2 linked regions of the Arabidopsis thaliana genome follow. The protein of the gene in region 1 interacts with the protein of each later gene in a biochemical or structural test. Each region holds a gene or a part of one and is shown in the gene's direction. Other genes may lie near its edges.

Region 1 (7,247 bases):
TCAAATTAAAATTGAATATTTAATTGAAAACTGTAAAGATGACGTCAACTTCTCAGTCATCATCTCAAAAACGGAAGCTTAAGAAAAATCTATACCTACCACTTCGAACTAACTCTCCTCTCTCGCTTACTGGAATTTGGGGATTAGCTTGGGAAACTTCGCCGGAGATTCATACGTCGTCGTCGTCTTTAGTATCTGTATCGTCAATGGCGTTGCTGAAGTCTTTCATCGATGTTGGCTCAGACTCGCACTTCCCTATCCAGAATCTCCCTTATGGTGTCTTCAAACCGGAATCGAACTCAACTCCTCGTCCTGCCGTCGCTATCGGCGATTTGGTTCTGGACCTCTCCGCTATCTCTGAAGCTGGGCTTTTCGATGGTCTGATCCTTAAGGACGCAGATTGCTTTCTTCAGGTTCGTTTTTCCGATTCCTATAAACTCGGATTACTATGTAGTAGTACCCTGGGAATGTTTCCGTAAATGATTTCGAATTTGCTATTTGAACCTGATCTCTGAAGTTTGCTCCATGGTTTATTGGATAGATCAATCCCGTTTAGCTCGAAAAAAATCCATTGTTCTACTCAATTGCTCGTTGCTTCGATTCATTATCTGTTACAGTTTGAGTTTTCTGTTCACGATTTTGAACTTTTGCAACTATGATTATTGCTTTATGATCTGACGGTATAGTGTATTGCTTACACTTAGTGATGAGGAAAATGAGGTTGTGTTTATTTTCTGGTGTGTTTCTTTTGATGTTAATATTGTTTAGTTTCTGTGCTCTGTTTGCAGCCTAATTTGAATAAGTTCTTGGCCATGGGACGGCCTGCGTGGAAGGAAGCGCGTTCTACGCTGCAAAGAATCTTGTCATGTATGCTCTGTTTGATCCTATTGATTTATTTGGATTTTTATGGAGTTTTGTTATTTGGCTTCAAGGTTTTGGTTTTGGTATGTTTTCATGCAGCTAATGAACCTATCTTGCGAGACAATGATGTTTTGAGGAGAAAATCATTCCATCAGATGGTTAGTAGTGTGAAATTGTTTTTTGCTTAAACTAGGGAAATTGTTTGTATATCTGTTACTTACGTTTATTGCTGTTTGATGCAAATTTGCAGAGTAAAGTGGAAATGATTGTTCCTATGGTGATTGGGGACTATACAGACTTCTTTGCATCTATGCATCACGCGAAGAACTGCGGACTTATGTTCCGTGGGCCTGAGAATGCGATAAACCCAAATTGGTGCGTTTATGTTACTTTTGAGCTGAGAGTTTCTTCATGAAATGGTCAAGTCGAAAGGATGACTCTGTATTAACATGACATTACCATATTTTTCAGGTTTCGTCTTCCCATTGCATATCATGGACGGGCATCATCTATTGTCATCTCTGGGACTGACATTATTCGACCAAGGTTAGGAAATTGTGTATTATTATCTGGTTTTTGGTGGGCTGAGAATGGTTGTTAAGAATAATTCACATGTCATATTTGAAGTCATGCATCATGCAAGGTTTTATGCTTTGACAAGAAATATAGTTTTTTATAAGATATTATTACATTGAAACCAATATTGGCGGATGGTAAAATTTCATGCAGACAAATTAATAATGAAATGCTAATTCCAGTTTTATCTTTGCTTGTTTTGCTTTCTTCCAGAGGTCAGGGCCATCCACAAGGAAACTCTGAACCATATTTTGGACCTTCGAAGAAACTTGATTTTGAGCTTGAGATGGTAAGCATCTGATGCCTCAGTTATGTGGATTTGTTTTACAATGATTCGGTTGATGCTTTTTGGTGCTAGTTAAGAATAACGGCATTGACAAACCTCTCTTTTATCACATGATATTCAGGCTGCTGTGGTTGGTCCAGGAAATGAATTGGGAAAGCCTATTGACGTGAATAATGCAGCCGATCATATATTTGGTCTATTACTGATGAATGACTGGAGTGGTACTCACTTAACTATAGTTTTCGTTGAGTCATCTTTAACCTGACCGGGCATGACCGGTTTTTTTAAATGTTTGTTGTTATAGCTAGGGATATTCAGGCGTGGGAGTATGTACCTCTTGGTCCTTTCCTGGGGAAGAGTTTTGGTGAGATATTTGGCTTCAATACTTTGATTTCATTTCCTCTAGTTGAAGTATATGGGCAAAGAACTTCGGTGAATGTTGTCTTGTTGTGTTGTAGGGACTACTATATCCCCTTGGATTGTTACCTTGGATGCGCTTGAGCCTTTTGGTTGTCAAGCTCCCAAGCAGGTTGGTACTTAGGCATCACATTCTTTTTGTGTCACGCAATCACTGATTCTCTCATGATCTAACTTGTTCTTGGGGCAGGATCCACCTCCATTGCCATATTTGGCTGAGAAAGAGTCTGTAAATTACGATATCTCCTTGGAGGTAGCATTCGATATTGGAGTTTCACTTTTTGGCTTTTTGCTATCAACTATAACAGCTTATGGTGGACTGAACTGAAATAAACATCATGTTTTTACCTCTTATAGGTTCAACTTAAACCTTCTGGCAGAGATGATTCTTGTGTAATAACAAAGAGCAACTTCCAAAACTTGTGAGTTCCTCTATAATCTCCTACCCAATTCCTCCATATAATTAAACAGTTTGGTTCAAACTCTTTTAAACTTATTGTGACAGATATTGGACCATAACGCAGCAGCTAGCACACCATACCGTTAACGGTTGCAATTTGAGGCCTGGTGATCTCCTTGGCACAGGAACCATAAGCGGACCGGTAAACTCTTTTCGAACCAGTTCTCTCGTCTACTATATCACGTGATGACTACACAATAACTCGCAAAATCTTTGTTTCTTGGTTCTAAACGCAGGAGCCAGATTCATATGGGTGCCTACTTGAGTTGACATGGAATGGACAGAAACCTCTATCACTCAATGGAACAACTCAGACGTTTCTCGAAGACGGAGACCAAGTCACCTTCTCAGGTGTATGCAAGGTATCAGCTGATTAACACGGTTTCTGCTTTAGTTTAATTTGCTTTATACCCCAACAACTCCAAATGAATTTCGTTGCATGACATTTCGGTTAACGCTTATTAATCAAATTACGTCTATGATTAAACCGTTGTAGGGAGATGGTTACAATGTTGGGTTTGGAACATGCACAGGGAAAATTGTTCCTTCACCGCCTTGATCAGCTGTCGCCGGTAACGTACCTTTTATAACATTAATAAAAAAAATCCCGTCACCTGAATTGTTTACAGAAAAAATGGAATTGATGGGAGTATCACTTTATTGCAGGAAAAATGGTGAAAAGAAAGATTTCCATAATCACGATTAAGCACTTGGGGATATGAATATTATTAAGCAGATAACCCCAACCCATTAACAATAAGTCATTTCTCGATATTAGTGTAATATGTTACTGAATCTTTTATAAAGAAAGACAACGGAATATTAGTAACTTTCAATATAAAAAGTGATAATCATCGAGTGGTAATGAGTCCTTTAGCAACGGTCGGTCGTTTATACACAAAAACTTTCAATAATTGGTCTTTGCAAAATTACTAGGGAGTTATATTTATTTATACCACATTCACGAGTTATATACTAACGACCACCGTCAAAAAAAAAAACAATCTCATCCATATCAAGAAAAGAAAACAAAAAAATGAAACGTTCAAGAAAATTCTCATCGTCGACAACAACAACCACCGTTATTCACACTTTCTATAATGACCATACTACCCCTCCGGCAACCAAAGAAATCCCGATTGAAACTCCATTACCGGCGACGAAAGCCAACGTCAAAACAAACGCCACCGCCGCAGCAGCGAGGATTCAGTCTGGCTACCGTTCTTATAGGATCCGAAACCTATACAAGAAAATCTCATCCATCAATCGGGAAGCGAACCGTGTACAGAGCATAATCCAACGGCAAGAAACAGTAGACGCCATTAGAAGCGATGAGAAGGAACGTCTGAGAATGAACGAGACTCTGATGGCTCTGCTTCTGAAACTAGACTCCGTCCCTGGTTTAGATCCGACGATCAGAGAAGCTCGGAGGAAAGTGAGCCGTAAGATCGTAGGGATGCAGGAAATACTCGATTCAATCTCGGAGACTAAAGACGAAATTCAATGGTGGAATTACAACGATCTCGGCGGAGTAGACTCCGGACAAGGCGGTGGCGCGTGGCCTTTGTATTGGGAAGAAGCGGTGGAGGAAGAGATGTGTAGAGAGAGAGGCGGTGAGGAGATGGAGAGATTCTGTGCTCAGTATTTGGGTTTCAGATGTTTCCAGAGATTTCTCAGAGAATGACGGCGGTTTAATCCGGTGTGTCGCGGTGTACCGTGTACGATAGGTCATCGTTTGCTATTGTTTTTAGTCCGTTTATGTTCCATTAAATAACGAAAATTTCCACGGTTAATAACGAACGAATTATCTTTTTTTTTGTATGTTATACGAATCTTAAACAATAAATTAGTCTCCAAAGTCTAAAACTCAAATTTGGGTCCATGGTAATGTCAAAATATGGTTTAAAGTGAAATAACTTGTTACTAAAAATTATTTATCCAAATAATTATTGACATTCAAAATTCTATGAATGCGTATTGATCTTTTAGTGTTTATTCATGAATCATAATTCAAAATTGCAAAATAAATAGATTTGATCCTACACTAAAAAATTGCATAGCTAATTTGAAAAAAAAATACTAGTTAGTCAATTCTATCCGATTACTATGTGTGTGTGAGTATATTGACCGGAACAAAATACTTGTGTCATAATCCGGAATCAAATTCATCAAATGTGTGTGTGTGTGAGTATATTGACCGGGAAAAAAGAATAATGTGATATATCTCTTAGATATATGACTATAAATAGGAACTATATACTTTTAGCATTCAACGTATACAACATCAAGTTAAACGACAAAAAGATTCAACATACATATATAACATCAAGTTAAAGAGACAAAGATCCAACATGGTAACATTTAACATATTATTTTACCATCAAGAGAGCATTTACTCGATTTGTTCCTAAGCCGCACAGCTACACTTACACCTAGAAACGCAGCGTTTACACTCCAGCAACGACGGCTTGGCCGCGGTGTCGCATCGACACGTGGTGGTGCACTTCCTCTGAGTAACACCGCCCCAAAGACAACGAGCCATGCATCGGAGCACCGGCACGCACTTAGGGCAGTCGTATTTCATTTGCTCCGCCATGCATGTCTTGCAGCTGTTTTGTGATGGTGGATGCCGGCAGACACCGCCAGAGCCGACGGCCGCGGCTCTCGAAATCAATAGCAAGATTATGAGGAAGATGAGAGAAGAGAAGAGGCTTTGAAGCTTGTAGGTCTTCTTCATGTTGGAATTTGGTTTTGGTTTGTGAGAGAGTTTGGAAATTTATATCTTTGAGAATGTTATTGTCTTTATTTATATAGAGGTTTTGTCATGATATACAAAAATATTTCTGTTGATTAGATTATTATCTAGTGACTTCCACAAGAGTTAAAGACGAGATTGATAGTGCAGTACACCAAGATGCATTTAAGTGAGGCATTCATTGTTCTTGAAGTGTACAATTTCCTTAAATGCGCTCTTCACTCTTTTTTTATTTCAATGATATGTTAAATATATATATTTCCGGTAACAGAATGAAACATTTTTTTAAAAAACCAGATGAAAATATAGAATATACAAAATGAGTTTTGGTAAACTTGTAGAATGAAACAATTAAATAATAATATATATATGTGGCAAACTGAATTTAGTTTTGAAAACGGTATGAATGAAACAAGGGTCAAAACATTCGTAGAATTATTTTTAGTAAAAATATCCCAGTTTCAACCGAAGAACCTACTAAATTTCTTTTAGGCTTTTTCTTTATATTTAGAACTCTCCAAGGGAAAACCAAACCAAGTTAAGTTTCAAAATTTAGTTTTATATAGAAGTTTTGGACTATGAATAAACGAATAAGGGAATCTATAACGATGACGTACGTAGTTCATCTATATACATGCACATGTAACAAAATCTGTATCTAGCTAGTTTGAAAAATAGAATAAAATCCGAAAATAGTAACTTACAGAAATACAAACAAGCATATTGTCTATATCAAGTGAGATGAAGAATCATCCAAAAAAAGTTAGGCGAATAACGATATGAACAAATTTAAATTGAAGAAACAATAATGAATAATATTATATTTTTTTCTCTTCTTCCAGTAACTTTTGTGATGGATATCACAGCCAATTTTTGCGAATGTCGAAGGTGTAGTTGTTCTCCAAGTAGCACTGATTATCATCATCGACGAACTGAAAAATAGATACAAGACAATAAGTAAGTGATTTAAATAATCCATAAAATAGTCTACAAATTAATAAAACTCTAAGACAACATATTTTGCTAGATGATGCATACATACTTACATATATTGTAACTAAACTAAAAAAATGTAACTATTAGATTTTTGGTACCTTAGATTTAACAGAATAAGAGCCTCTAACGAGTAGACCAGAGGGTGCCGTCTCTTCAAACATAACATGAGTGTACGGTTCCGCCTGTGGACTAAACGTTCCTAACATCTCCTTTCTACTATACACTGTTCTCCACAAAGTTAAAGAAAATAAATTAGACAACGGCTTCTAAAATGTGTGTATTTGTGGTTAGCGAAAGTGTAAAAGATAAAAATACCCTTGATTCCGGTCTTCCAAACTGTATTGCTGTATTGGAGGCCGGACACAATGTTGTTGGTGACACGGAAAGTAAATATGAGAGTGTACTTAGAGCCTTCTTTGAGAGTGAACCATGGTCCTTTCGAAGCCGGTTTTCCGTTTTCAGGGATCGTTAATACCATGTCTTCTCTATCCGGTGACCTAATTGTTAAGGTTAGTATCTTTACCAGTGGATCCGGAGTCTCTGCATTTACATTTTGTCACTCTATCAAAACAGTACATATATATATATATATATATATATATATATTTTTTAATATTCCTACAATTATCTTATCTATTGAAATCTAAAAAGTAATTCTAATCGGATTCATCTGTTATTTAACCATAGATATAAACCGGATATTGGATTTTGGTTTACCTCCGACCTCCTCAAGATCCACGCTGCCTAGAAGTTGCTCCTTCCATCTCCTCAAGCTTTCATCATCCTAGACAAATTTTTAATTGTAGAAAAGCGCTATAGCCAAAATGCAATTGGGTTTGAATAATTTATGAAATCATAACAAGAGAGATCAAAACCTTGTCTTTCTCGAGCTGTTC
Region 2 (5,797 bases), on another chromosome or scaffold:
AACAGGATCGTACCATCTGCTAGTTGATGATGATTCCGACTATTTTTGGTGTCATTTATGGCAAGGACCTAATTTCAAGCATCACCAAGTTTTTGGTGTTAACCATGGAGACGTATGGGAAGCTAGGGAAGACGGAATCTACTTCTCGCAGATAAAATATGCTCGAGATCTCCGTCAGCATGTGTTCATGTATGGGTGGAATGTTCCTTTGACCTTGTCAAGAGCTTCCTCGTTGGGATTGTGTTGTGTCTCTTTAAGCTTATTACTCTCTTCCTTGGTTTTGTTTTATTTTTATCTAGTTTTAGTTTTGAAATTTATTTTTTTTATTATGAATTTTAAAAATTTAATTTTTATTTGTGTTGGAATTTTTTTATTTTCTTTGTAACCTATATGAACTTGGATATTTTTTTTCTTTCTTACATTAATTAAGTACGTAAGTTTCGACAATCAAGAATAGGGTTTTGTTGATTCCAATCGTGTTACCCAAAAATTAGAATAAGGTTTGTCCAACAATTTATTAAATTTGGTCTTAGAGTTGTATACGAGCCTACGAGGTATCTTTTAGATATGCCGAAGAGATGGTAGTGCGAAGAAGAAAAGAAACCTCATTTTCCATGGTATTAAGGATTTCAAGCTATTCAAACTTTTGTAGTGACCCAAATACGTGTAGAACTGGCCCAAAGACAAATAGCTTAATTAAGATTATCACCTAATCTTAGGTATTGGTGATAGGTGATTCGCTCAAGCCTTATGATCAATATTAGCTCCATATTATGGAGAGTGAGCAGCACATACTCGTAGATAGAAAAGTATTGTTGCTCGAGTAATATTTTTCTGATGATAATTGTGTTTCGACCACTGTTGGCATCTTTCACACATGAATACATGATGTACATGTACGACATGCAATCTTTCTCTTAACGCTCGACTGCTGTCTGCTGTGATGGATCATCACAAGTAAACTTTGTGAAGCATATTTCGTGAGCCAAATGATGTTAGAAAACAATCGTGTGAGCCAAAGGCGTGAGAGCGCTTGTAGAAAGTGGTTTATGTTGTAGTTAAAATAATCCGAATATTCATCTTCCGGAAAAAAGTGAAGTTCAACCTCTCAACGGTACGTTTTTATACCTCAACTAAGTTACATTGTGTATATCAACATCAGCTAACTTTTTATTAATATTTCGGTTCACAATATCATTATCTTTTTCAAAATTTATTAAGATTTCTTTTGCTCATTTTATTTATGTGAATTTTAAAAATAAAATAATTTTTATAATATAGAAACAAAATATTACTAAAAGTAATTTTTAAAAAATAAATAAAATTAATGTCATATCAACGAAAAATTCATAGTTTATTAAAGTAGTAAATATAAAAGTAATAATATTTTAATTATTTTGGTATTAAATTATACACTTTTATTAATATATGTATTTTCTTCTAAAAATTAAAAATTAATTGGGTTTTTGTTTGGAATTTTTCCGACTTACCTTTTCTCCTTCTTTTTGTCGTTTTGCTTAGATATTTGTTTGCATCATTTTCAAAGAGAGACGACTCTGAATCCAAAAAAAAAAAAAACTCATTAAGTAAAGACAAAGGAAGAGAAGAAAGACGATTTCTCGAAGAAGCTATGGCGGATCAACTCACTGACGAACAGATCTCCGAATTCAAGGAAGCTTTTAGCCTCTTCGACAAAGATGGCGATGGTTAGATTACCTCTTCTTTTACGCCTTTGATGGTTACATTACTGGATCTCGGTTTTTTTTCCATTTTCGTCTTCTATCGATGATTTAGAACGGTGTATCTCGTCCTCCCGAGCTTTGAATATGTGTTTATTAGTCGCTAATCTCTTTAGATTCGGAGGTATTGACCTTGTCGTTTGATCTGTTTTTGATCTTTGACCGAGTAGTTTCGCTTTTTGATCTTCGATGGCTTTTTGTATATGATTGAATCGATTTAATAGCTTGCTTGTTGTCCTGTTTCGTTGATTTGCTAGCTTGGATCTGATTTATTTTTTCGTCTCTTACGTTTTGTTTGATTTTTCATCTTCCATGATTGTTTTGGTCGTATGTGTTTTCGAGTTTGCTCTTAGTTGATAAAGAATCTGCTATCTTTTTTTCTTCGAAGTTGTTAATTATCTGAGTTTTTTTTTGTGTTCTCAACAATTCTACCAAAGAATGGGAAAAAACTATGTGCTTAAATGTGATTTCGAATCTTTTAGAAGCTTTGATGGTTCTTCTTGATCTCTCTAGGTAGGTTTCAAGGTCATGTTGCTCAGATTTTCTCTTGATTTCTGAGTTGTTTGTTATACTAGTTGATGTAGTGTTTGTTCTCTCTGATCTAGGATTTGATTTCAAAAGATTATCAAATTGTTTGGAAACTACTCCTGAATTGTCTCATGGTTATATCCTGCTTATAGTAGCTCAATTTGTGTAGATTTGTTTGTTCACTCTTTAAGAGATAAGCAAAAGATGTTCATTCGCTTTTGCATCTATCATTGCTTTTACCCATGACAAAACTGCTTTATCATTGCTTCCATTGAGCATTTGAGTATAATATGTGATGGGTTCTAAAATGTAATGCTCTCTTAATTGTGGTTACACAGGTTGCATCACAACAAAAGAGCTGGGAACAGTTATGCGTTCACTAGGACAAAACCCAACAGAGGCTGAGCTCCAAGACATGATCAACGAGGTTGATGCAGATGGAAACGGCACTATCGACTTCCCCGAGTTCCTGAACCTGATGGCTAAGAAGATGAAAGACACTGACTCCGAGGAAGAGCTAAAAGAAGCCTTCAGGGTTTTCGACAAAGACCAGAACGGTTTCATCTCCGCTGCTGAGCTACGCCATGTGATGACCAATCTTGGTGAGAAGCTAACTGATGAAGAAGTGGAAGAGATGATCCGTGAGGCTGATGTTGATGGAGATGGTCAGATTAACTATGAAGAGTTTGTCAAGATTATGATGGCTAAGTGATTTGATAAAGGTGATGATGATGATGATGATGACCTTTTTATGCTTCTAGGAGTTTAACCAAAAACATTTGCATGATTGGTGGAGATATGCTTTTAAACAGACATAATTTGTTTTTCGTTCTTTTGATTTTCTGGTTTGTGACTTTTGTGTGTAATGGAAAATCAAGTAAGTTGGATTGAAACCGATGGGTTGGGTTTTTACTTTTTACCCACATTTTGTTGCTTTTTTGGTTTTACAAAAAAAGAAGAAGATAAGAAATAGAGATGAAAAATATGGCTTTAAGCTGAAAAAATTAAGTACTAGTTAAAATTATAGTTATATTAAAATGTTCTCTTTCTGATTTACTGTTTTAATCATTTGAGCCACTCGTCTGAACTGTACGTCTCTATACGTGTGTACGTTAGCCACAAAGAAAATGATTCGCGGGCAATCACTTCCAAATTTGTGTCTAATCAAACTTTTAATTTTCATACGACAAACAGAGGTCGCTGAAAATTTAGTTTTAAGTATAAAGTGCTTTTCTTTTGTCAATTAGTTTTAGTATAAAGTGCTTTAGTGTATTATTTATTTGGATACCAAGTTGAAAATTGATGTTGGACTAATAGGAAAATGACACATGTAAAAACACGAGGTTGGTATTATGCCATTGGCCACCATAAATTGTCGTGAAGTAGTAAATTTCAAGACAAGTTTTAAATTAAGATTTTGAACAATACATTCATATTTTTAGTAACTTGTTATTTATACTTAGACTATATAATTAAGTATTCGATCTATTTAAATTTATATTAAGACATTATTTCCCAAAAAGTGTGAGAAATCATATATATGACAGGAGCTCAACTCTCTCCCACAATATTACACATCAGCACATGAAAGGAGAGGTTGCCACCTACACTTCTTAAAATAAGTAATACATAATTAGTAATTAATTCAACATATGAACCTATCATAAGTCAGAACTTCAACCATCACTCTTTCTATATTTTTTAATTTAATATATCTTCTTTTATTTTTTTAGGCATTTGGGTAGAGAATATGATGAGTACATTTTTGGGAATTTTTACGGTATATTACCATAATGTTTTCATAATATTTTTCTCAACATGTATTAGAAAAATTCGAATGTTGTGGTAACAGAATTGGCCGTATTGTTAGAATGTGGGAAGTTCATACCGGAAATACGTTCTGCCAACGACCGTGATGTATTCCTTGAAAACTCACTCTTCCTGCTAGATGAGAAGGTATAATTGTCCAATGACTAACATATCAATTTATTTTTCTAACATAAATCTCATATCACACTCATCATATATCTATCTTCTCATCTTTCTAAACAGAATTCCTTAATTCGTTGCTTCATTCCTTCATCACTTGTTGAAAAATACAATAGTATTTTCCAAGAAGGAATGATCTTACAAAAATAAATACAATAGTATTCTTTCATCATTCCTTCACTATGTTGCACTGGTAATACAATAGCCTTCGTGGCGTCACAGTAATTTATACTTGCATTATCCACACACATTACAACTCATATTTAAACTATAAAAAAATTAAGTTAATGTGGGAACAACTATGCACTATACTATTGTCAAAAAAATTACGCCATTTGATATAAGTTCTTAAAAACAAACAATTATCTTACGTCATAACTAAAAAGTTACCTGTTAGTATTGTAATATCAGAAGTAATTATAAAAAAAGACCAAAAAAAAACTCAAACACATTGTATCCACAATTAAAAGAAAATGTATTGTTTTGTTAGTATGGAGTGTAACACAAATTATATATAAAATATATATTCGATCAGTATGTCATGTTTATTTAGGAACAAAATTTACCTCATTTAGAATTAATAACTGTATTACTTTATTCAAGTTATTAGCGGAAGAATGGACGCTCCAGAGCCTTAGAACACCTTCAATGGGGGTTTCTAAAAATGTTTTTTAATAAATAATAAAAAATATATATGATTTAAATATTACATGAGTCTCTTAAATTTGATGAAATATAGGCCAATTGTCTCTTAGTTAAGAGATAATTTGTCTTACTTTCACCAAATTTAAGAAACCCATAATTAAAAATATTATTTATTTATACTTACACTTTATTTTTTTTAAGAGACTTAGGATTAAAAACTACCATTGAAGATGCTTTTAAAGTATGAATGTTTAGAAACTTACAACCCATCATGTGGTATTAAAAATGAGTAAATAAATCCACAATAAATCAAATACGCACGATTATAACTTAACTAACTCATTTATAATCTAGACGTTTAAAAAACCCTACAAAAATTCCCAATCAGAATAACGTATATACCCATTTCTAAACAATAATATCCATTTAAGAAAAATAAATACTCTTTCAAACTTCTAATCATTCCAACTAGAATATTACATAATGTAAATATTTATCTTTATATATATATGACACATATTCACTACCAAAATAGTTTAATCTTTGTAACCACCGTAAGAGTATCTAGAAAAGTAAGTCTCTCTTCTCAATAACTTTTACTTTATTTTTTTGGAATCATAAACTTCAACTTATTAACGACAACAACTAATGGTAAATAAGAATAAACTAATATCATATCTTTCATTTGTCAGATTCAAAGATCAAAATCACGTACGATCATTATGGCAACAACACAATCAACAACTACAGTAGCACCTCTTCAATCCATCGCTGTAGACAAGCTTACAATCGGATCATCTATGCAACATATAACTGTCCGCCTCTTGAGAATGTGGGAAGCTCGCAATTTCAAAAGAAACGGAGAGCTAATGAGTCTAGATCTTCTTCTCCTAGAT

The links.
Region 2: the proteins of BAG5 (region 1) and CAM1 are reported together in a solved structure, tested with the Arabidopsis thaliana proteins (one study listed by BioGRID).

What each region holds. Positions count from the first base shown.
Region 1 is NC_003070.9:4,072,698-4,079,944, forward strand, and holds BAG5 (BCL-2-associated athanogene 5), read left to right. Parts: upstream 1-3,528; 5' UTR 3,529-3,636; coding exon 3,637-4,284; 3' UTR 4,285-4,533; downstream 4,534-7,247. Other genes in the region: AT1G12050 (fumarylacetoacetase), read left to right, coding at 207-413, 789-867, 961-1,019, 1,112-1,236, 1,333-1,407, 1,651-1,726, 1,845-1,944, 2,028-2,087 and 6 more; AT1G12064 (uncharacterized protein), read right to left, coding at 5,008-5,337; AT1G12070 (Immunoglobulin E-set superfamily protein), read right to left, coding at 6,216-6,287, 6,450-6,574, 6,667-6,891, 7,069-7,135, 7,227-7,247. UniProt on the Arabidopsis thaliana protein: Co-chaperone that regulates diverse cellular pathways, such as programmed cell death and stress responses.
Region 2 is NC_003076.8:15,001,951-15,007,747, reverse strand, and holds CAM1 (calmodulin 1), read left to right. Parts: upstream 1-1,542; 5' UTR 1,543-1,630; coding exon 1,631-1,706; exon of another isoform or gene 1,707-1,818; coding exon of another isoform or gene 1,819-1,863; intron 1,864-2,323; coding exon 2,324-2,401; intron 2,402-2,605; coding exon 2,606-2,979; 3' UTR 2,980-3,221; downstream 3,222-5,797. UniProt on the Arabidopsis thaliana protein: Calmodulin mediates the control of a large number of enzymes, ion channels and other proteins by Ca(2+). Among the enzymes to be stimulated by the calmodulin-Ca(2+) complex are a number of protein kinases and phosphatases.